3 linked regions of the Caenorhabditis elegans genome follow. The protein of the gene in region 1 purifies or fractionates together with the protein of each later gene. This does not show direct contact. Each region holds a gene or a part of one and is shown on either strand. Other genes may lie near its edges.

Region 1 (8,396 bases):
CAGAACCGCTGCCAAAGACAACGACTAGACTTGCCAACGTTCATCACTGCACGCCGCAAGTGCGCTCCACCGGATGGCGCGCGGATCTGAATTGCCGGCGCCAACTCTAATTGTCATCATTCTGGAATGTTCTTGGCTCCTCCCAATTCCCCTATAAAAGGAGCAGAAACGCTCATTCGAGGCCTTTTCCTTGACTTTTAACTCGTTGTCACGTGTTCGCTGTTTGCCCACAACAACCTGCTTTTCTGTAAATTACTTTATTAACTAATAAACCTGCTCATGACAAGCCATTCTTATTGTATTTGTCCGTGTGGAGTACACGACTTTCCCAGGAGTTGTCCGGCGGGCGATTGCCAATGGATCGCAAAAAATTCAATGCGGAAGACCAGAACCCCGTGCACCCTTGCTACCTATTCCCTCCTATTCCGCTCACCTTTCGTTAGTGCTGTGATCAGTGTCACGAATATGGCTGAGAATAAAAGGAACTGCTTCAACATGATGCTTCGGTGATTTGAATCGAAAAGGAACACTCAATTTTGAAAGGATAGTTTTATACTCGGCCGTAAAACGCTAAAGTTATAGGCCATAAAGTTCCGTTGGAGTTTATGAGGCATCCGGGGGCAAAATATATAAACATTCAACCGTTGATAGCCGATGAAAATGTTAAAACAACTATTTGTTCTTGTTGGGCTCCTGGTGGTGTTTTCGGCTGCAGAAGAGTGTAAGAGATCTCCAATTACTACATTCTTTTTCACTGCTAAAATCTATTTCCAGCTGATCACCATTTTCTTCAAAGTATGATCAAGTTCGGAATCGACAAGAAGTGGGCTCAAATGATCAGCGGAATTGAGGAGAAACACGAGAAAGACAAAGCACTGCTCGAAAAGAAGTATAATGATGAATTGGCAGCTGTTGATAAGAGTATTCCACCAGAGCAGTACAAGCATATGATGGATTGGTATCGTCATGGTTAATACATAATTTTTTGAAATATTGGAATAAATTTTTTCCTAGCCTATCCCAGCCGAAAACCCTGAAAATTTTAACTTGGAACTTTGGCTCATTCGAGCCTTCTGTCCAACAGCTGTCATTATCTACTCATCATCATCGTCCTTTCCTTCTTTAAACAACCGCCCAAATTCCAAAGAGGTCGTCGCCTAAAAGTATATGAAAAAGAAGAAGTCGAAGAAGACAGCTGTCGTTGAGAGGGGTCACCCCGAGCCAACTCATCGGGGAGCTCAAACATCTAAACAATCGATGGGTGTTGTTATGGAATACTGATGGAAAAATGTGAAGGGTTTCGATAAAAACTATCTCTCTATTTCTATGAGCAATAAACAAAACACATCTGGTTCACACAATTTCCGTAGGTTTTCATTTCAATGAGCATTTTTGTGTGAACCCATTTCGAAGCGGTTACACGGGGTTCTGACCTTCCTTATTGAATTTTTCGCGCTCCAATGACAATCGGCCGCCGGACAACGTGTGGGAAAGTCGACAAATACATTTAGTTTTACAACTAATAACCGAATCGAGCCGCGACGCGACACGCAACGCGCCGTAAATGAAGATATGGCCGAGCCAAAATGACCTAGTTCGGCAAACTCTTCCATTTCAATTTTACAAAAAACTATTATCATAACACATAATCTCCTCGAAATTCCTTATATTTTGTCAGTTGAAAACTTTTTTCTACCTCTTCTCCCCGCCGAGAAAACGGCTCCTGAAATAACTAACGGGAAAGAGCGCAGAGGGAAGAGAGACGCAGGCTGCGCGCGCGCTCTGCGTCTCCCCTCACCCCACACTCTCTCGCCGCACAATCTTAAATCTTAAAAAATTCATAACTCAGTGGAGAGAAGAGCTACAAAAATGTTGTCAACGAACAAAATGTAGGAATTGTTACGTAGAATAGATTGTTAGTTGACAACTTTTCGATAACTTATATTCTCAATGAGATATGAACAATTGAAGATTTCCTCACTAACAGAAGGCAGAACTCAATATCGATCAAAAGTGCAACATATTTTTACACTTTGTCGGCTGCCACGATCTGTAAAAAATATGAAAAAGCACAGCGTTTTGAAGTAAACAGGACACCGACAGCTGTTGTTAGTACGGATGTAATTTGATAGCGGTCAACTGGAATGGAAAATGCGTTGCTACAGGACAAAACTACTTGCAGTGACCTGTGGAATTTATTTAGGAACGAACAGGAGTATAAGGAGCATATTAAGTCAAAACTTATGGGAGCAGAGATTCGCTGCACCATGTTTCGAATTACAAATTTAACGGTTTTTGTGCCATCAAAATAAGTTCCACTACAAATAGTTTACAATTCATTGATAACTTTTGTTTTTTCTGACCATTTTCCAGCTGCTCGGAAATTTTGAAAACAGTAAAAGTAGAAGGTAAAAATATGAAAAATATTCATTCCAAATTTTGTAAATAAAAAATAAATGAAGCTTTGATGCAACATGTCTGTCAGCTTATACCACAGATACAATTAGTGATATAAAAATACTATAACTATGTAGAAAGGTAGAGAATAAAGATGATAAGTGTTTTTCAGTTGACAATTTTTGAATAAAACTAACGACAATCGAGATATCAGCTGTCAAAGTAGAGATTTTTCCTTACGCTGCACATGGGTCTCCTTTCAAGGATCATATCTTGATTACAATTGAGTGTATAAACATGATTCTAACAACAAATTTATATATGAGAATATGTCAAACATTTTTGTAGTTGACAGTTTTTGAACAAAACAGAAGACAATCGAGATATCAGCTGTTAAAGTATACATTTTCCCTTACGATGCACCATGTCTTAAATTTCAACTTTGGAGGATCATATCATGGTTACAATTATTTTTAATCGTATGAAAATGATTGAAACAATAAAATTAAATGCATATATAAGAATATGTCACACATTTTGTTAGTTGATAACTTTTAAACAAAAAAGAAAAAACCGAGATATGAGCCTTTAAATGGAGAACTTTCCTAACGATGCACCATGTCTTAGATCTCAACTTTGGTGGTTTATATCTTGGAGAAAACCAAGAACAATGTTGAAGATGAACTATAAAAAAGTGCACATTATTTAATTTTAAAGTTTATTGCACAATCCAATTAATATTAGTCACTTCTCCATAGTCCCTTCTCCCAATAAATTGCACTTTCGATAATTCCAATCAATCTTGTGTCAATTTTCTCTGTCTTTCTTTTCCACCGGGCCGATATTGTGCAACATTGTGCCAGCCGTCTCCTCACATGCTCCGCCCAGATCTGTGTGCTCGGTGAGCCCCCAGCGGGTCCTCTTCATTCGCCGTCCAAGATGCGTTACGCTCTTGCCGCTTGTCTCCTGCTTCTGGCAGCCTCGTCTTTCGTTGACGCCAAGGTATGGGCTTTGAGGGGATTTTTTCAGCGAATTAATGAGAAATTTTCAGAAAAAGAAGATCGCTGATGATGAGCTCGGAGAGCTCCTCGACAACATCGATGCTGATGAGGAGAAGAAGAGTGGTGAGTAAACTTGAATACGGTATATATCGGCAATTATCAGTTCTATTCAAAATCTGCCAACTAACGAATTAATGCAAATTTCATAAGCTACAGCTTGTCAAAATTTAGCTATCGCAGCTGACACAAGCGTTAGTGCTGCTCACATATTTTCCAACAACTTGTTAGCTGACAACGTTTTGATAACTTGCACAGTCATGTCCCTTTTCAATTTTAAACCGGTGAATCTCAAGAATCATAGGCGTTACTAAAAGAACTACAATTAGTTTCTTAAACAAATTCTTGATAAAACCAAAAGCGATCCTTCGATGCACCATGCTTCTAACTTTAGTTGACGAGTTATAAAATTAATAAATATCCTATAGCAAAGTAACTAAAACTTTGTAAAACTTCCTACAAAATTCAAAAAGTTACGGCATTTTCGAAAACCTAATCAATTATCATCCATCATCCATAGTCCCAATCCTCAAGAAACCCAAAGAGTTTAAAACACATTCGAAACCCCTTCCGACTGATAATGATGATGATTCATAAACTGCCAATGTCCCAATCAATCTTGTTGCATCTGGCCAGCTAGCCGCCAGCTCACGGAGCCATCTCCTGGGCTCCTGCAGTGTAAAGTTGGAGAACCTTCGAAGATGCTCGAAGCTTTGTGCATTTCACGTCATGTGGTGTTGTAATATGAAGGCTGCTGCGGCGGCGGCGGCTCCGTGAGCAAGAGAGGAAAACGAGCACTAATATTTATGGGGGAACTTAGATGGGGTAGCTAGAGATGAAAGTGCTGAAAATAGATCAGGCGTGGGCAATTTGTAGGAAATTTTGTGAGAAATCGTTTGTTAGCGGACAATTTTTCACTAACTTTAATGATTGCCAAAAAATTCCGGTTTTAAATTAGGCTGCCGAACTTTTGATATAAATACCTCCGCAACCATTAGAGCTATCAAAGAGTTTTCAACCAACAATTTTAGGAAATTTTGTGAGCAATATTTTGTTAGTTGGCAATTTTTGAATAGCTTTACTGGTTGGCGAGCTATACGCTTCGGCGATTTCGCCAACTTCCGACCCCTGTAGCTCTGCCAGTTTCAGTACTATCAAATTTTTGCCAACTGGCAATATATTACAAACTCTTGGAAAATCATTTTACAGTTCTCAAACTCTTCTGAAAATTACTATATTTTGCAGTAGAGCCAGCCAAGAACCCATGCGAGGACCACCAGTGCGGATGGGGAAAGGAATGTGTCGTCGGAAAGAAGGGAGAACCAACTTGTGAGTGCATCTCAAAGTGCCCAGAACTCGACGGAGACCCGATGGATAAGGTGGGACCTAACAAAATGTTAAAGCTTGAAGTTTTAACAGTACTTTGTTAACTGATAACTTTTTTTTAGCTCTGCTGGTTGCGGAATTATAATTTTTTTAAACTAGAACTTTGACAAGTTCTAACTCCTCAGCCGTTACAGCTATCAAAAATTTGCTAACTACTAAAATGTAGCTTAAAACATGTTCTACAAGTTGTTAATCAATAATTTTTTAAAATCTAGCAATCTAACAATGTTACTCCTCTTCAAACAAAAGTTATCATTCCAGGTGTGCGCCAACAACAACCAAACCTTCACCTCCCTCTGTGACCTCTACCGTGAGAGATGCTTGTGCAAGAGAAAGTCCAAGGAGTGCTCCAAGGCTTTCAACGCCAAAGTCCACTTGGAATACCTCGGAGAATGCAAGAAGCTTGATGAGTGCACCGAAGAGCACATGGCTCAATTCCCAGAACGCATGGCTGACTGGCTCTTCCAGGTGGGGGTTGAAAGAGGCTAATAGGTGCCATTAAAAAACTGACAAATGGCACATTAACGTAAAAGTTGTTTGAAGCAGTTTGTTAGTTGACAATATTTTGTTAACTTCAAAACTAGCAGAGTTGCGGGGATTTGAAATTTCAAAAATTTCAAAACAAAAAATTTAGTAGATTTTTTTTTCAAGTTGGAATATCTCAGCAACCAGGGTTGCTTTTTAAAAAATTGTTTTCGAGAAATTGTAGCAAATTTTATGAAATTTAAATATTTTTAAACAAATTTTGTGTGTTCCAACTGATTGTCGAGTTATCGCTCCGCAAATTCGGCAACTCAAAAAACCCACAAAAAACGAAAAATGAAAAAAAAAAAACGTTTTTTCAAACCGATCCAACTCCGCTTGTTTCAAAGCTAGCGAAATTTTGTCAACTGAAGAAACACCATAAATTACTTAAATTTTATTAATCTCAATTTGTTTCAGGTCATGAAGGAGCTTAAGAAGAGACGTGAGCTCCACAAGCTCGAGTGGGAAGAGCTCCTCTCCGAGGCCGAGAACGACGACGAGAAGAAGCACGTGTACCCAGTTATCTGGAAGTTCTGCGAGCTTGACACCAAGCCACATGATAAGGTTAGTAAGAAGCTTGGTTTAAAAAAAAAACGATATATTTAAAAAAGCTAAAATTGAAATTTTGAGAAATAAAAAAATTCAAGCCAAAAAAATTTTAATTTATAAAAAATCAAAACTTATCAATTAATAAATTTAGACACAATGTTAAAAAAAAATATTCAGAATTAAAAAAAATCAGAAAATGTTTTATTTCCCAAAAAGAAAACATTTTTTGAAAGTTTTTTTAAAACCCTACTGTAAATTTTAAAAAATTAAAAAAAAACATTTTCGAAAATTTTTAAATTTTAATTTTCCACCCAAACCTAAAATTTTCTGAATTTTTTGAATTTCCCACTCTAATCCCACTATTTTCAGTCCGTCTCCCACCACGAGCTCATTCCAATCACTGCTCCAGTCATCCCAATGGAATCCTGCATCAAGCCATTCCTCGAGGGATGCGACGCCAACAATGACGGAAACATTTCAATTAAGGAATGGGGAAAATGCTTGGGACTTAAGGAGGGAGAGATCCAAGAGAGATGCTAAATAATTATCTAATTAAAAGTTTAAAAAATTCGAAAAAAAAAAACTTTCCCAAAAAAAATTCTAATCCAGCTTGCCGAACTGCCAACTTGCTCACATGCTAGAAATATCTGTAAATTACAGATTTCTAGGCCATGAACCCCCTATTTAACCTCAAATATCGATTTTTGAATTTTTTTTGCTTTGCTGAATCCAATGTGCCAAATCTCAGTTGAACATAATGATATCCTACTGATTCTTTTTAATTTTTTTCTATAATTTTCAATTTTAATAATAAATGTTTATTTTATTGATAATTACGGCAATTTGTGAGAGGAAAAAATTGAAAAAAAAAGAATTTCAGAAAAAATTCCAAAATATCAAAAAAAAACCACTTCCAGATTTTTTCCATATAACTCGGAAACCCTAGAAGCTACCAAAAAGTTGTAAACAAACAAAATGTAGCTCTGACAATTTGCAACATTTTCATAGTTGATATGTTTTTGCTAACATGTGTGGTTGCCGACTTATATCCCTCGACATGTAGACAACCAAAAAAATTGCGCTTCTCAAAAAAAAATCAATACGTATCAACTTTTGTTACATGTGCATTATAGTGCATCATAGGTCGGTGATTTGGAGAGCCTCCATGATGAGATCCATGCTGATCCACGTGGATCCATGACATTGTTGGAGGATGCACGTGTTCCGGGTGGTGCTCGGCGAGCAACTTTCGGTGAAAGTGAGTGAAAACCAGGATGGCGCTGAGATGATCAAGTTTAACTACCGTTTAACACATAAACCATAGAAAAATCTTTAAAACTGACCGAGTTATAGAGTTTCGACAAATTATGAAAAATAACTGGAAATAAAAAATGAGCTGTAATTTAGTCAATTTCGGTATGAGAAAAATATTATTTATATTTTTGAAATTAGCAAGACAAGGCACTTTAAATATGTATAATCATGACTAGGTTTCGACAATTCAAATTTTGGGCCCAAATTGGCCTGAAGCCTGAAATAGTACTAAAATTATTGTGGTAGTTGTTAAAAAAGTTTACATCTCGATTTATACATTAAAGTTAGTTTTAAATTATCCCATATAAACTCGACATTTTATAGGCATTCTTTAGACAGTTTCAGACAGTTTTAGGTCGGTTTAAGCCGATTTAGGCCATTTTCTGAAACCTACTCATGATTATACTCATCTGAATCGTCTTGACTAGCTGATTACAAATAATTAAAATTTTGTGGGCTCTGTAATAAAAATAAACAAGTTATGGTATCTTTAGTTGTTTTTGAAAATTCAAGAAATTTAGAAATTCTTCGAAAATCCATAACTTTCTCCAATTTTGTGATTTGTCTATGATTTTTGTGTCATTTTGAAGCTAATTTTCTATACTTTTCATGAAAAATATTTTAAGCCAACTGACCTGTCAAAAAGGTGATAAACCTGCCAACTCAGGCTGGTGAGTGCATATTTTTTCCATTGCTGCTTAACCAAACCAGTGCAAAAGCTTGATAATGTGGCGAAAATCAAAAATCCTAAATTTCTAGCGAAAATCATTAAAAATAGCCGGAATTCTTTAGGATTTCTCAAATTTTTCCTTTTGACCACTGCGAAAATCCATGTGGCGCAGTTTCCAACTACAGTAACCACGAGCAGAAGGTCACTGAGCAGCTGGAGCACCAGAAGCCTGTAGGTGGCACAGGATTTTTTTGTAGGCGCCGACCATTGCCACGTGGCAGGCTGGTAGGCGATAAAGCAGGTCTCGTAGGCAAAAAGTGGGCCAATTTCGAAAAAGCTCAGAGAAAATATGAAAATTAGGCAGAAAATGCAGTTTTGGCGGGAGAATATCGATTGATTTCTGGATGGAATGTGTACGGACAACAGAGAGCATAAACTGAGCAAAATGTGAGACCAAATAATAGAAATCCAGATGAAAGTATATATTTGGCCGATAA
Region 2 (4,986 bases), on another chromosome or scaffold:
TGTGGATACAACGACAAACTGCCTAAGTTCGGCCATGTCGAAAAGATTTGATCTAGAAAGGTGATTGGGATTGTATCTAGCTTAACCATTTCACTTAGAATAATGTGGTTGACATTTCGAATATTTGAGAAATGGTGAATCTTTTGTTGACTCATTCCTTGCTTCCAAAAAAATATTATATTTGATTTGAGATGTGTTTGGTGGAGGTTCAAAATCGTGTTTCGAAGCATTTCGTGAACTACTTTTAAGGTTGATCCATTGAAATAAAATTTGATTATACTGCTGGCTTCATGGCACGGAGTTGCGCTGAAATGCAAAATTAAAATTATTTACTGTGCTGGCCACAAACGGGGCTTCGTGAATTTTGGACTGTGTTAAATTAACCATAACTTAAAAGCTAATCATTATTTTCGAAAACGGTCAACTAACAAAACGTTGGTCATTATGTTGTTGACATTGCCTGACCGATATTATTTTACAAAAACTGCCCTGAAAAACGGTACAGCGACAGACATCTGGCTGGTCGATTTTTGACCTCGAATCTGAAATCGTCTGTAACTCAAGAAAAAATCGCTTCCATGAGAATAATTGAATTAATAACATGATCTTCATAAACATTTATGCCCTATGCATATAATAACTTTGTCCTCAACCCGCCGGGAAGTGAATGATATACAACTAAGCCTATATATTCCAAACTGTTGTGGATCATATTTCATAAAAATGATAGGACTTTTCAGAGTATTGTTTTCAGGCGTGAAACGACCTACATAACTATGATAAATTATTGATTCTTCAAAAAAACAAATGAATAATCAAAAGCAATCATTATTTTCGAAAACCGGCAACTAACACAATGTTGGCCATTATGTTGTTGACATTTCCTGACCAATATTATTTTACAAAAACTGCCTTGCAAAACATTACAGCGGCAAACATATGGCGGGTCGGTTTTTAACCTTGAATCTGAAATTGTCTGTAACTCGATAAAAATTGCTTCCATGAAAATAATTGTATTAATGAAATAATTTTTACTAAAGATGGAAGCGATTTTTTCTTGAGCTACAGACGATTTCAGTCAAAAATCGACTAGCCAGATGTCTGTCGCTGTACTGTTTTACAAGGCAATTTTTGTAAAATAATACTTATCAGACAATTTGAACAACATAATGACCAGCATTTTGTTAGTTGACAGTTTTCGAAAACAACGTTTAGTTTTTCAATTATGGCCATTCAAACAAAGCCAAAAAAAAAAACGAAAAACCGTTTGTGCATATCTTTTTGGCCAGCATTGTATTTACAGTAAGACTTTTGTATTACATGTGTAATATGGACATATTGGATACCCTATACTTACAGTCTTTCGGTCAGAACTTTTCAAAGTACAGTTTTTGAAAATTTTGATTGAGCTCGGCTGCGCTTAAGAGAACTCAAAAACGCTGATAATCAGGCTAGTATATTTTCAAAACGTAAGGAACTGACCAGTAAACCATTGTTTGTCCAATTTTCAATTTAAACCACTTTTCTTGCTGAATAATGTCTTCTCTTGACGCTTCTCTAATTAAAAACGATAAGTGTTCACTTAAATTATTAATGTCCTTCATTTGCATGACGTAAGAACGTTCAACGGATAAATTCGAACACGAATGGATCATCGACGAGTATCCTTTTTTTATTGATTTTCTGGCCAACGTTTCAGTTTTGGAAGAGCAAAATGAAAAGTTAAGCACGTCGATGAAGCTCATTTCCTGAGGAATTTGCCTACGGATCACAAGTGGAAAGGTGAAGAGGTTGAAGGGCATTCTGAAAAAAAAAACTATATACATTATGTAATAAGAGGAAATGGTAAGCAGCAACTTATAGAGAAAAGAGAAAATTCAATACAAAAGTAATTGTTTTTTTTTGAAAAAAAAAATTGTGCATAGTGATAGCGATAGTGCAGGATTAATTATCAATAGAATTGTATAAGTGCCAGGCTCATAAAAAACAGCGATTGAAAATAAAGCCATTGAGTACAGAGCAAAACCGATTAAAGCCTCGATGTTTTATTCATCTTGATTTGAACTTCAACATTTTCGGGGAAAAAAACGATAAAGCACCATGAATATAACATTCATACAACATTTGGTGGTACCTAAAAACTTCAAAAATATGGAGCTGTGTGCTGGCCAACCGAGGGGTCAACCATGTGACGTATTGCGTCTTCCCACCGATGCAGTCTCCCGCTGGTCTATGGAATTGCGGGAGGCGTCAACTTGCAGGACCAATTTTTCGCTGAAAACGGTTAAAGGTGGAGTAGCGCCAGTGGGGGAATTGCTTTAAAACATGCCTATGGTACCACAATGACCAAATATCATAGTAAAAATTAAAAAAAAAATTTCTAAATTTTATATGATTTTTTGAAAATTGAAAAAATCTCGAATTGCATCAAATTCCTATTTGAATTACCGCCAATAGTTCGATGTTCGATGGAGCGCGCTTGCATTATTTTAAATTTAAAATTTCGAATCTAAATCTTTGAAATAGATTATTTCAGGCTCAACGTCGTTGAAAAACGTGATATCTCTGTTTTCAATTATTTTTAGTGAACAATCTACATTTATCTTGAATTTTTCGATAAATCTCCAGTAAAATTACTCAAAAAAAAACATGAAAAATCAATTAAAAATAAGAAAAATTAATAAATAAAAGTTAAAATAATGCAAGCGCGCTCCATCGAACATCGAACTATTGGCGGTAATTCAAATAGGAATTTGATCATTGTGGTACCATAGGCATGTTTTAAAGCAATTTCCCCACTGGCGCTACTCCACCTTTAACTAGCAACATGTATAGATTCTTCTTATGAAATCTAATTTGCAAAAATTAGAGCGGTCTGATGGACTAGATTTTCTGAGCACTTTTTTTTTACGAGTCTACTGTTCAACAGAGTGAAATTTAGAATTGAAAGCTTAATAACTGCCGAGAGTTTATAGGGCCCCAGGCCCTATAAACTCTGACTAGATCTTGCCTACCTGTTTTTTTAGACAAAACACCATCTGTCCTAAATAACCGTACCACCCTTTTGCTCAGCGAAATGACCCCAGCTGCAAATGCGCCCTAATTTCCAGCCAATATAAAATCGATATAATCTCAGTGGGGTCTTGCTGTGCCATTCTCGTCGTTACACCTGCACACTATGTTAAATTCAAAACCAGTAAGCTACCAAGTATTGAAGTTCATATTGAAGCATTTGGATCCAAGTTTGAGGTGAGTATTTTGGCTTGGAAAAGTTACGTATTTAGAGGGTTGAGTTTTGAGAATGACGGAGTTTTCGGAGTTGAAATTTTTGGGTATAGAGGAAATTCATCCAAATCACAGCTCACATTATGTTTCAAGCTTTTTGCTCAAGTGCCACACAATTTTTTAATACATAGCTAAACCTACCTAACTATAAGTATATTTCAGAATCCAACTCTGCCTCGTCTGCCCTTCAATTCATACCTTAGAAAAATCAACCCCTTCCTACATCCACTATCTCAAGATAACAGATAACAGCGTGACAGTTAACCGGGTAACCTGTCAAATTACAGTTACCGATAGAAAAGTTGATTATCAATTTGATATCAATCAATTCCCAAGTATCAGTGGTACAGTCGAACTAAGGAATAGTAGAAATAATCTGACCAAAACTATGAAGTACCTTCTCGACAAACTCTTTAAAGGAAGAACTGTGAAAGTGGGCCAACTTGCAATTTCTTGTGAAAATCCTCTACGGGTTCCGTTAGCTGCCAGGATCAATGTCAATGTTTTGGAGGTTTTTGATTCCCGGAGCTTGTCGGCTGCTAGTTCACTAATTGCAAACTCTTGTCTACCATTAAGCTTGATAAAACTCCCATTTAAAAGCCTTCTGAAGACTAATAACAATCCAATTACATCAATAGTAAACCGAAAAACTAAAAAATGGCACTTCAAAGCTCCAACCACAGCTCCACACAACCTCAGGCGGGTACTGACGTTCCTGCAAAATCGGAGAGTTACAACTGCACATTTCGAAAGGGGACACTTCTGCTTTTCAATTGTTATAGAATACTTTATGGGTGATAGTGATATAGAAAATGGAACTTATTATACATTTGACACAACTAGGGGAGCTGTATTTGTAGTTATGGAGAGGAGTAGGAAGAGGTATAAAGCGATGTTGGAAGATGGGTAAGTTAATCTAAGGTTGAATATTTTCAAAAAAAATCTAAAGTTGAATACTTTCAGATCTTCTCGACGTTCCAATCAGCTCACCATCAAGAAGAACAGCACCTCGAAATTGGTTATCAGCAAGATACAGCAGGGAGATGCATGGATTTTGGGTTTCAAAATTGAGCGGCGAAGACTTTTCCCTACTTTTTTTTGAGAACAACTAATCGTTGAAAAAATGAAAGAATTCCTATGAAACTGTTTTGTCTTGTGACTTGAGAACTATCGGATTTCTGTGTTTTTGGAAAAATATCACAGCGGCAGACATCTGGCAGGTCTGATATAGTTTTCGTTTAGAAAGATTCGTACTTTTTACAACTTTTCTAAAACCTCTCCATCCCAAAAAAGAAGATTTTGCAAGGGTCGAGCCACTTTCAGAAGATACTCGATCAAAAGCTTCTGCATGCCAGGTCAGGATAATTCTGAAGCTAGAGATCTGGTTCAGGGACACCTGATCAAGTTATTTGACCACGTCCAGCTGACCACCACTGTGCTGCTGCAAATCTGCTCTAATTGTCAACGGGTCGAAAGAATTACATTGGGGTTCTCTTGGTCATTCTAGCCTCTTACCAGTTGATCCTAACATTGAAATGCTTAACATTTTCCTAGGCTGAAACCAAAATTTCATCAAAATCACCCTTGAACATAATAAAAAATAATAAAAATGTGATGCCTCGTTAGGGATCGAACCCCTGGCCTATTGCTCCATACAATTTTTCCTCTTAGCTCTTCCCAGTTGAGCCAAAAGCCCCTCTT
Region 3 (8,499 bases), on another chromosome or scaffold:
TCAGCCATCTCCCAACATACATCACTGCTTCGTTCCTCAAACGACTCTCCCGATGCCTTCTTCTTGCTCCAATTGATGCTCAGGAACCAATTCTTGGATTAATTAGAAATCTTGTGATTAGACATCCAAACTGTTCTGAATTGGTTCATCGTGAGGTTCCTCAGACTCTTTACGATGATCCTTTCGACAATGATGAGACAGATTTACACAAAACTCGCGCATTGGAATCAAGTCTTTGGGAGATGAAACTTCTTCAATGTCACTGGAATCAAAGTGTCAGAAAACGAGCTCATTTCGTTGATAAATCGATTCAAAAAATTGAGTCTTACGTTCGATTCCGATGCACCGACGAGTTATTCTCTGTAAACATGGCAAAATCATTTGGCGGAGAGGATGGAGAAGCTGAAAAATATCGAAAACTGCAAGACGGGGATGAAGACGAAGAGGGAACAGGAAAGCCGGAACCGAAGAAAGCTCGTAGAAAAGGATTTGGTGGGAAATTCGCTCCAAAACACGAAGAAAAAGTCACAAGAGCAGTCGGTGTGAACTCTGAAGCGCCGAAAGGAATTCTTGATAGACAAGTTCCAATCATCGATGTTCCAACTTTATGGAAAATTTAATCAGATTTTTTGTTACAGTTATTGTTGTTCCACTTTTGTTGTTGTTTTTCCGTTTTCTCGTTTTTATATTTTAAATTTTCAAAATAGTACTGTTGTTTTTCTTTTAAAATAATTATTCCAGTGTTTTATTCACTGAAATCATATTTAAATTAAATATCTTGTTCCAATTTCTTATCCATTTTTCTTTTTTTGATTAAAAATATTTTTACAGTTCACAATGAACCTTAACAGCCCAGCTGTATCAATGCTTGGCGGTGACACCCCTGCACATGGTGGACCGAATTCCGTACTTGGAGGTCAAGGACCCTCATCAATTCTCACGGGACACGGTCCCAACTCTGTAATGGGACCAAACTCGATTCTTGGACCTGGAAGTGTTCTCAATCCACAATCAATTCAACCAATGCAATCACAACAAATGCACAGTAAGTTATTTGTGGAAAACTCATTTCAGGGTTTTTGCTTGAAAAGGATAAAACTAGCCCAAAATTAACTAATTTTTTTTAAAGAGACTGCTCATAAAATTTTCACTATTTTTTATGGCATGACAAAAAGTAAATTAACAAGAAATCAGAATTTTGCTGAATCCCGAGACTTCTATCACAGCAGCTGAATTACAGATTTTTTGAATTATCACCCTTTATAGAATATTTTGTTAGTTTTTCGTTAATTTCGGCAAATTTTTATGTCGTTAGGCGTCTAAAAATGAACATAATTGGCATGTCGATCATAAATGGGACTGAATCGACGATGTGAAGCGAGATAAACAACTAAATTATAAAATTATAAATTGTTCAATAAAATACACTAATTAAAAAAAACTGTATCCTAACTGATGCGACAAGGAAAAGTTAGCGAAATTTCAGATTTAAGCGAAATTAATACGTTTTTTTTTCGAAATTTTAATATTGTACAGTTTAAAAAATTTATGAAAAAATCTGATGAACTCTCTGTGCACGTTTATTTTAGCCGTGACCAGTCTTTCAACTTTATAACCTTTTTTCAGTCTTAAAGCCGTTTGTCAAAATTAAAGATTTATATTATTTCAGGCCTTCAAGGTTCTTCAATGCAAATGCATTCACATCTCGCCAACTCCAATCTCAACTTGAACATAAATCCAGCTTCAGTCGGACCTGATCGTAATCCTGGATCAGTTATGCATCACAATTTGGACATCAATCCTCCATCAGTTGCATATCAGAATTTGACAGTTCCAATGACACCACTTGCATATTCTGTATATGATCGAGATGCTCTGACACATCAGGCTCCGGCAAGTAACATCGCTGCCACAATGGTTCCAGCAACTCCAGCAAGTCAATTGGATATTCCGATGCCAGCTCTTCAGAACATTGTCTCTACAGTCAATTTGGGAGTTCAATTGGATTTGAAGAAGATTGCATTGCACGCGAGAAACGCCGAATACAATCCAAAACGTTTCGCAGCAGTCATTATGAGAATTCGTGAACCAAGAACAACTGCTTTAATTTTTTCGAGTGGAAAAATGGTGTGCACTGGTGCGAAGTCAGAAGAAGCAAGTCGATTGGCAGCACGAAAATATGCGAGAATTGTTCAAAAGTTGGGATTTCAGGCGAAATTTACCGAATTTATGGTAAGTGTTTCTGGAAAAAGGTCACAAAATCATTTGAATAATTTTTTTGTAGGTTCAAAACATGGTTGGTTCTTGTGATGTTCGTTTTCCGATTCAACTTGAAGGATTGTGCATTACTCACTCTCAGTTCAGTACTTACGAACCAGAATTGTTCCCTGGATTAATTTATCGTATGGTCAAACCAAGAGTTGTGCTCCTTATTTTTGTGTCTGGAAAAGTGAGTTTAAGTTATGAAATAACCTTTTCTATGTTAAATTTTCAGGTTGTTATCACTGGAGCAAAAACAAAGAGGGACATTGACGAAGCATTCGGGCAGATTTATCCAATCTTGAAGGGATTCAAAAAATAACTTTCTTTTATTAAAATTGTTTTCATTCTTCTTTATTTTCAAATTTTTGTTTCATTTTAAGCCTTCCCTTATCCCTAAACCCGGATCTCGTATAATACAGGTAAAGTAGCTTCATTTTAGACATCTATGCACTTTAGAACCACTTTCTTCAGTCTACCAATCCGATAAAATCGTTTCGAATTCAATAAGCTTTCGATTAATTACTGCTCACCATTTCTCCCCGTACCTTGTATAATTTTGTTGATGTTATTTTTTTTTGAAGAAGTGACATTATCAATGTTCTTTTCAACTTTCCTCTTGTTTTTCAAATTTCTCCCGTATTATTGAGAATAAAGTATTAAAATAGTTGTTGTTCAATCTACGAAATTGAATTTCTGATAATTTCTGTAATATATTTATTCATATTTCAAATTTATAACATTTCAGATTGAAATTTATCGTTTTAGATGATTCCAGCTGATATTATTGCATCAATTGCTGGATTAGTAAATGAAAAAGATATTGAAAAGGTATTTCATTGGTTTCTACATTTTCAGATATAAAAGAATATTTCTTAACCCGACAAAACTCGGATTTCGATCTCACTGTCAATTCTGTTTTTAAAAAAGTAATTAAGTTTCGAATTTAGTAGAATTTCTCCAAAATTTTTTTGCCAAAAGACTAGGAAAATTTAAAAAAAACAAACAAACTGAAATTTTAAAGGTTTAGTGAAAAAACTCCGAAAGAGAAATTGAAATTAGTGAAAACACAAGAAAACCAGAAAGAAAGTCGATTTTAATTTATTTTGAATCCGTAACAACTCAAAAACTTGAGCAAAAGTTTCGAGACCCGAAGAACTCGAGGGATGTCCAACTGGGGGGATTACCAACTCGGGGGATTGGCCCCGCCCACAGAACCGTGGCTTGCAATACGCCCATTTTTGCAACTGCCGCACGGTTTTAAAATTATTTTTCTTGTTAATTCTCGCTCTATTGAGAAAAATACAGTTTTAAAACCGTGCGGCAGTTGCAGAAATGGGCGTATTGCAAGCCACGGTTCTGTGGGCGGGGCCAATCCCCCGAGTTGCTAATCCCCCCAATTGGACATCCCCCGAGTTCTTCGGGTCTCAAAGTTTCAAATTAAAAAAAACAACACTAGAACCATAAACATCACATGTTGCTAAAGAATATCCGCGAAAAATGTAGAATAGTTTTTTTTGGATTTTTTTCCAAAAACTAATTTTTCGTCAAAATACAAAAAAAAAACACATGGTTATAAGATCGCTCACTTTTGCGCAAACAGTTTTTTGAAAATATAAAGATTCATAGTATCCGAATGAATTCAATTTTTTCAGATCACTTCTGAGTATCAGGACAACATTTGGGAATTCGTGGAATCACTTGTGACTCATGTTCTTGCCAGTAATCATGTTGGATATTCTGGTAAGAATGAATATTTTAACACCCTAAAAATATTAAAACGAGATAGAAGTTTGGAAAAAAAATTCAATTACAAAACTTATTTTTTTTAATTCAAAAATCGTACAGTAGAAATAATAGTATAAGGTTCGATGTGCTCTGTGAGCCAGAAGCTGCAAAAAAGAAGTGCAACAGGCTGGCTTCTCTGTGCTCTCCAGGCGCCGGTCGGTGTATGGGCTCGGCGCTCGGCGCCCGGAGCCTCTGTCTCTGTTGTGTTACTTCGTGTGTGCATGTGCTCTGGAGAATAAGGAAAACGAAGAGAAAAAAGCAAAGACGAAACGAAAAAAAAACGGGGGAAAAAGCAAGCACATGCATGCGAAAAGTGTGTTGAAACTGGAGAACTTCTCGTGCTATGTGGAGCCAACGACAGCGAAACGAGTCGGCGGCGATGGTTGGGTGGATGAGGGCTTCGTCTAGTGGGAATCGACGGTTTGGTTCGATTCTCTACCCCTTCCACGACGCATTGATTTTAGGTTAGGCGGTTTTGCAATAATGAGATAGGATTCCTCTAGGGATGAGGATCAAAATAAATCTATTTTTGAATTTTTCACAAAAAATCAACTAAAAGTCGTAACTGTAGCAAATCGTCAAAAATTGTAGGCATCCTGAAGAAACCTGGCACCAAAAAATCAGAAGGACTGAAAAAAACCACTCATTATTTTTGAATTTGGATTTTCTCAAGTTTCAAAAGAACAGAAAATTTTCAAGCTATTTTCAGATTATAACACATCCTCGTTCATATCAGAAGAACTCGCTCGCCAAAAATTATCATGTGGTCTGAATATACCAAATGCTGTGTCAAAGTCCTTATGGGCACTACACTTGGCACATGAACACGTGGAAAAATTGAAAGATCTTTCTGATATACCTCCAATTGGATATCGTGTTATACTTGAGTTCTACCTAGTTTGGCAACAGCTTCTCATTGATCCAGAGGAAACTATTCGCACTGAAATTGAACCAATTGTAAGTTAAAAAATATATAAATGTGGATAAAAAGGTTATACTTTTTTTTTTTTTTTTTTTTTTTTTGAAAAAAATTTAAAATTTATTCAAAAAAAAATCAGACTTCTTTCTTGGCTTTTTTCTACGGTTTCGACGAGGATGTTTCAGTTGATCCTCCACATTCTTCTTTGATTGTTTGCATTCCTTCGATACCGTTCAGTTTCTTCTTTCTTCATGTCTTCTTTGCCTGCAGGTTTACAAACCGCACTTTTTGAATGAAGAACTGTCAGAATCACGAACACGATTGTAGTGATGATTCCGATACCTCCGAAGACAGCCGAAACTATCATTAGCATGCTAGATGGCAAAATAAAGTGCTTTTCACTCATCTTTTTGATGAATGAGCGTTTTTAAAAACTCGAAAATACTTGAAATTTATGAGAAAATTTTTATTCAGTTTAGAAACTAATATTTTTCAGATGGAGAAGCTTAGAGTTTTGATTGCCGAAGAAAATGATGCATTCACTTCAGAAGATCGATGTCAGATACAACTCGAGATGGCAGCTGTACGGTTTCAATTTTATGAATACGACAAAGCAGATAACCTGATTAAAAGTGCAAGTGAAGAATGTCAACTAAACATGGATTTGAGTGGAATGATGGGAAAACGAACACGGTTCCAACAGAGAGATATTGCACAACTAGTTTTGATTCATAAGGATCCATCAACTACTGGAACACCTCTTCCTCCAGATTCTGATATTCCGCAGAGTTTGGATATGAATGATGATACTCTTCTTGAACAAGTTGCTATTACTGAACAAGGAGCAAGAGTTGATGGAAGAACACTGAATGCATGCCAACTTTCGTGTCTGTTATGGATTGCTCGACATGAATCAGCAACTCATCGTCATGATGTATTAGTTCACGAACGATGTTCACCAGTGTTGGATACTGTAATTGCAGCAAGAAGATATTGGAGTATTCAGGCAGCTGCTCTTTTGGCTCGTGCAGAACTTGAAAGAGGTCGAGTGAGACAAGTGGATCGTTCATGTACACAATCTGAATTGGTGGTAAAGTTACAACAAGGAGTTGATGATCCAGTTCTTATTAAAGGTGATTACTGAACTTTTATATTCAATGGAGAAGTTAAAAAAAGGGTAGAGCTCGAAAAATAATTTTTTTTTGAAAACAAAAAAAAAGTGTTTTACAATAATGAGAAGTTTTGCAAGTTTTATATTTTTATAGAGTTAAAAAAATTTCGATCATATATTTCCACGATAGTTACAATCAAGAAATCATCGAAAAAATATTTCAAAATTTTAGATCGTCTTCTCCGCACGTCATATATCCTCGCATCTGGTCTCACTCCATTTTGGCAATCTTCTGTTCTTCTGGCTGGTATTCTCAATTCTCTTGGATGTACTTCTGAAGCTTTGCTCATTCTGGAAAAGCTTGAAATGTGGGACGGGGTTATTGACTGCTACAAGCAACTCGGACAAATGGACAAGGCTGAAACTCTTATCCGCCGTTTAATTGAGCAGAAACCAAATGACTCTATGCTTCATGTATACTTGGGAGATATCACAAGAAATTTGGAGTATTTCACAAAAGCTATCGAATTATCTGATGATCGGAATGCAAGGGCTCATCGATCACTTGGACATCTCCTTCTAATGGATAAAAAGTTTGAGGAGGCCTATAAACATTTAAGAAGAAGTCTGGAATTACAGGTTACTGATAAAACTAATTATATTTTTATACAACTTTTTTTTCAGCCAATTCAATTAGGAACCTGGTTCAATGCTGGCTACTGTGCATGGAAACTTGAAAATTTTAAAGAATCCACTCAATGTTACCATAGATGTGTATCCCTTCAACCTGATCATTTCGAAGCTTGGAATAATCTATCAGCTGCCTACATTCGACATGGACAGAAGCCAAAAGCATGGAAACTTCTACAAGAAGCTCTTAAATACAACTACGAACATCCGAATGTATGGGAGAACTATATGCTTTTATCAGTAGATGTTGGAGAATTTTCTCAAGCAATTCAAGCCTATCATCGTCTTTTGGATATGAATAAACGAGGAGCTGACGATGAAGTTTTGGAATTAATTGCTCAAACACTTTTAAGAAGAGAAGCTGAAATTTCAATGGATGAGAGCGAGGATAAAGCTCAAAATGAAGCAGAAAATCGGAAGGAAAAAGAAGAAATGATCAAGTTGTTGGCCAGAATCTCAGCGAATCATCAAACTTTATCCCCAAAAGTAATTTTTTATCGAAAATTTAAAACTTTCTAAAAAAAAAAAAATTAAATTAAATTTCAGACTCTCCGTGTCTACGCTCTTCTCAAGAAGCCATCTGTTTTATCATCGGAAACTCGAACCGAATTTGAAAAGTATGTGCGATTACTGGAGAAGAGTCTAGCTGCAGCAAATGGAAAACTGACGTGGCCAAAAGAAGAGAAATTGGCGTTGGAAGTTGTTGAAACTGCTGTACGATTAGCCGAAGATCGTCTAGAGTTGGCAAAGTTCATCGCATCGGATACGTCTGTGAAAGAAGTAAAATAGATCATGTTTCCGTTATGTATCTAAATTCATTTTTACAGGCATCCGCTAAAGTTCGTTTATCTCTTCGTGGCATTCTTACTCGTCTTGATAAGGATTCAGGAAGCCGCGTGTCTGGTGATGAGACGGAGAAACTTCAGGAGATCGTAGAAGTTGCCAAAAGTCTTCTGGATAGTGTGGCAATTTGAATCTCCAAAAATTCAAAATTTAATAAAAATATTCCCTGTTAATCTTTGATTTTCTCCCAGTGAACGATGTTGTTTATTTTGTTTTTGTTCTAATCTTAATTCAGTTGTTATTGTTTTGTTTTTCTTGTTCTGTTTCAAGTAATTTAATTCATTTAAATTTTTTTTTAGTAATTCAAATGAAAATTGATAGATACATTGAAAACTACACATACCCTGATTTTTTTCGCGGGGAGACTGAAGAAAATGGCACCGGAGCGGCTTTTTACTTGAAAATTGGTCAGTAGAAATGAGAAAAACGAAGAAAAACAAAGCAAATTACCATTTTGAAAGAGCGATCGAGAGTTTTTCAGAAAAAATTATTTTCTTGAAATTTTTTGAAAAGAAAAACTGACAATTTTTCTTTCCTGATTTTATTAAATTATTACCTGCTTGCGAAAAATTGTGATTTTTAACTTTGAATCACGGCTTTGGGTCTTGGCACGAGCCAAACTTTCCAGCTACCGTACACTGGAATATGGTAGATTTTTATTTTCATTTTCGCAATTTTCTGTTCAAATTGCAGTTTTAAATTTTAGAAAATGGATAAAGCAAAGAGAATGGTGAACTGCAGACAAAGTGTTAAATACTCGCAGAGCGGGCACTGTAGCTAAAAAGTTTCGCTCATCGCAGGGCCCACTGCCATGATTTTTGCGGAGATTTGATCGCAAGTTTTAGCATCCCAGTAATAAAATAATATGAGAAAATTCGATGATTTTTGA

The links.
Region 2: the proteins of ost-1 (region 1) and fbxc-14 fractionate together in Caenorhabditis elegans (co-fractionation; one large-scale study listed by BioGRID). This does not show direct contact.
Region 3: the proteins of ost-1 (region 1) and trd-1 fractionate together in Caenorhabditis elegans (co-fractionation; one large-scale study listed by BioGRID). This does not show direct contact.

The regions. Positions count from the first base shown.
Region 1 is NC_003282.8:1,104,113-1,112,508, forward strand, and holds ost-1 (SPARC), read left to right. Parts: upstream 1-3,283; 5' UTR 3,284-3,336; coding exon 3,337-3,399; intron 3,400-3,448; coding exon 3,449-3,521; intron 3,522-4,700; coding exon 4,701-4,834; intron 4,835-5,102; coding exon 5,103-5,309; intron 5,310-5,783; coding exon 5,784-5,930; intron 5,931-6,284; coding exon 6,285-6,455; 3' UTR 6,456-6,760; downstream 6,761-8,396. Other genes in the region: C44B12.9 (uncharacterized protein), read right to left, coding at 434-497; C44B12.3 (8 kDa glycoprotein), read left to right, coding at 661-721, 775-974; srx-14 (7TM GPCR serpentine receptor class x (Srx) domain-containing protein), read right to left, coding at 7,350-7,446, 7,865-8,396. UniProt on the Caenorhabditis elegans protein: Has a high affinity for collagen. Affects nematode body morphology and mobility. Essential for C.elegans development and muscle function.
Region 2 is NC_003280.10:971,125-976,110, forward strand, and holds fbxc-14 (F-box domain-containing protein), read left to right. Parts: upstream 1-3,174; 5' UTR 3,175-3,178; coding exon 3,179-3,249; intron 3,250-3,447; coding exon 3,448-4,191; intron 4,192-4,248; coding exon 4,249-4,387; 3' UTR 4,388-4,421; downstream 4,422-4,986. Other genes in the region: C32B5.15 (F-box domain-containing protein), read right to left, coding at 1-306, 1,483-1,826.
Region 3 is NC_003281.10:7,383,202-7,391,700, forward strand, and holds trd-1 (Tetratricopeptide repeat-containing protein trd-1), read left to right. Parts: upstream 1-3,027; coding exon 3,028-3,090; intron 3,091-3,914; coding exon 3,915-4,002; intron 4,003-4,419; exon of another isoform or gene 4,420-4,510; intron 4,511-4,756; coding exon 4,757-5,004; intron 5,005-5,462; coding exon 5,463-6,099; intron 6,100-6,309; coding exon 6,310-6,716; intron 6,717-6,761; coding exon 6,762-7,253; intron 7,254-7,313; coding exon 7,314-7,547; intron 7,548-7,594; coding exon 7,595-7,741; 3' UTR 7,742-7,934; downstream 7,935-8,499. Other genes in the region: T20B12.3 (nucleolar complex associated 4), read left to right, coding at 5-620; tbp-1 (TATA-box-binding protein), read left to right, coding at 838-1,045, 1,670-2,232, 2,285-2,449, 2,495-2,581. UniProt on the Caenorhabditis elegans protein: Developmental protein required for cell fate determination in both the germline and seam cells of the developing epidermis.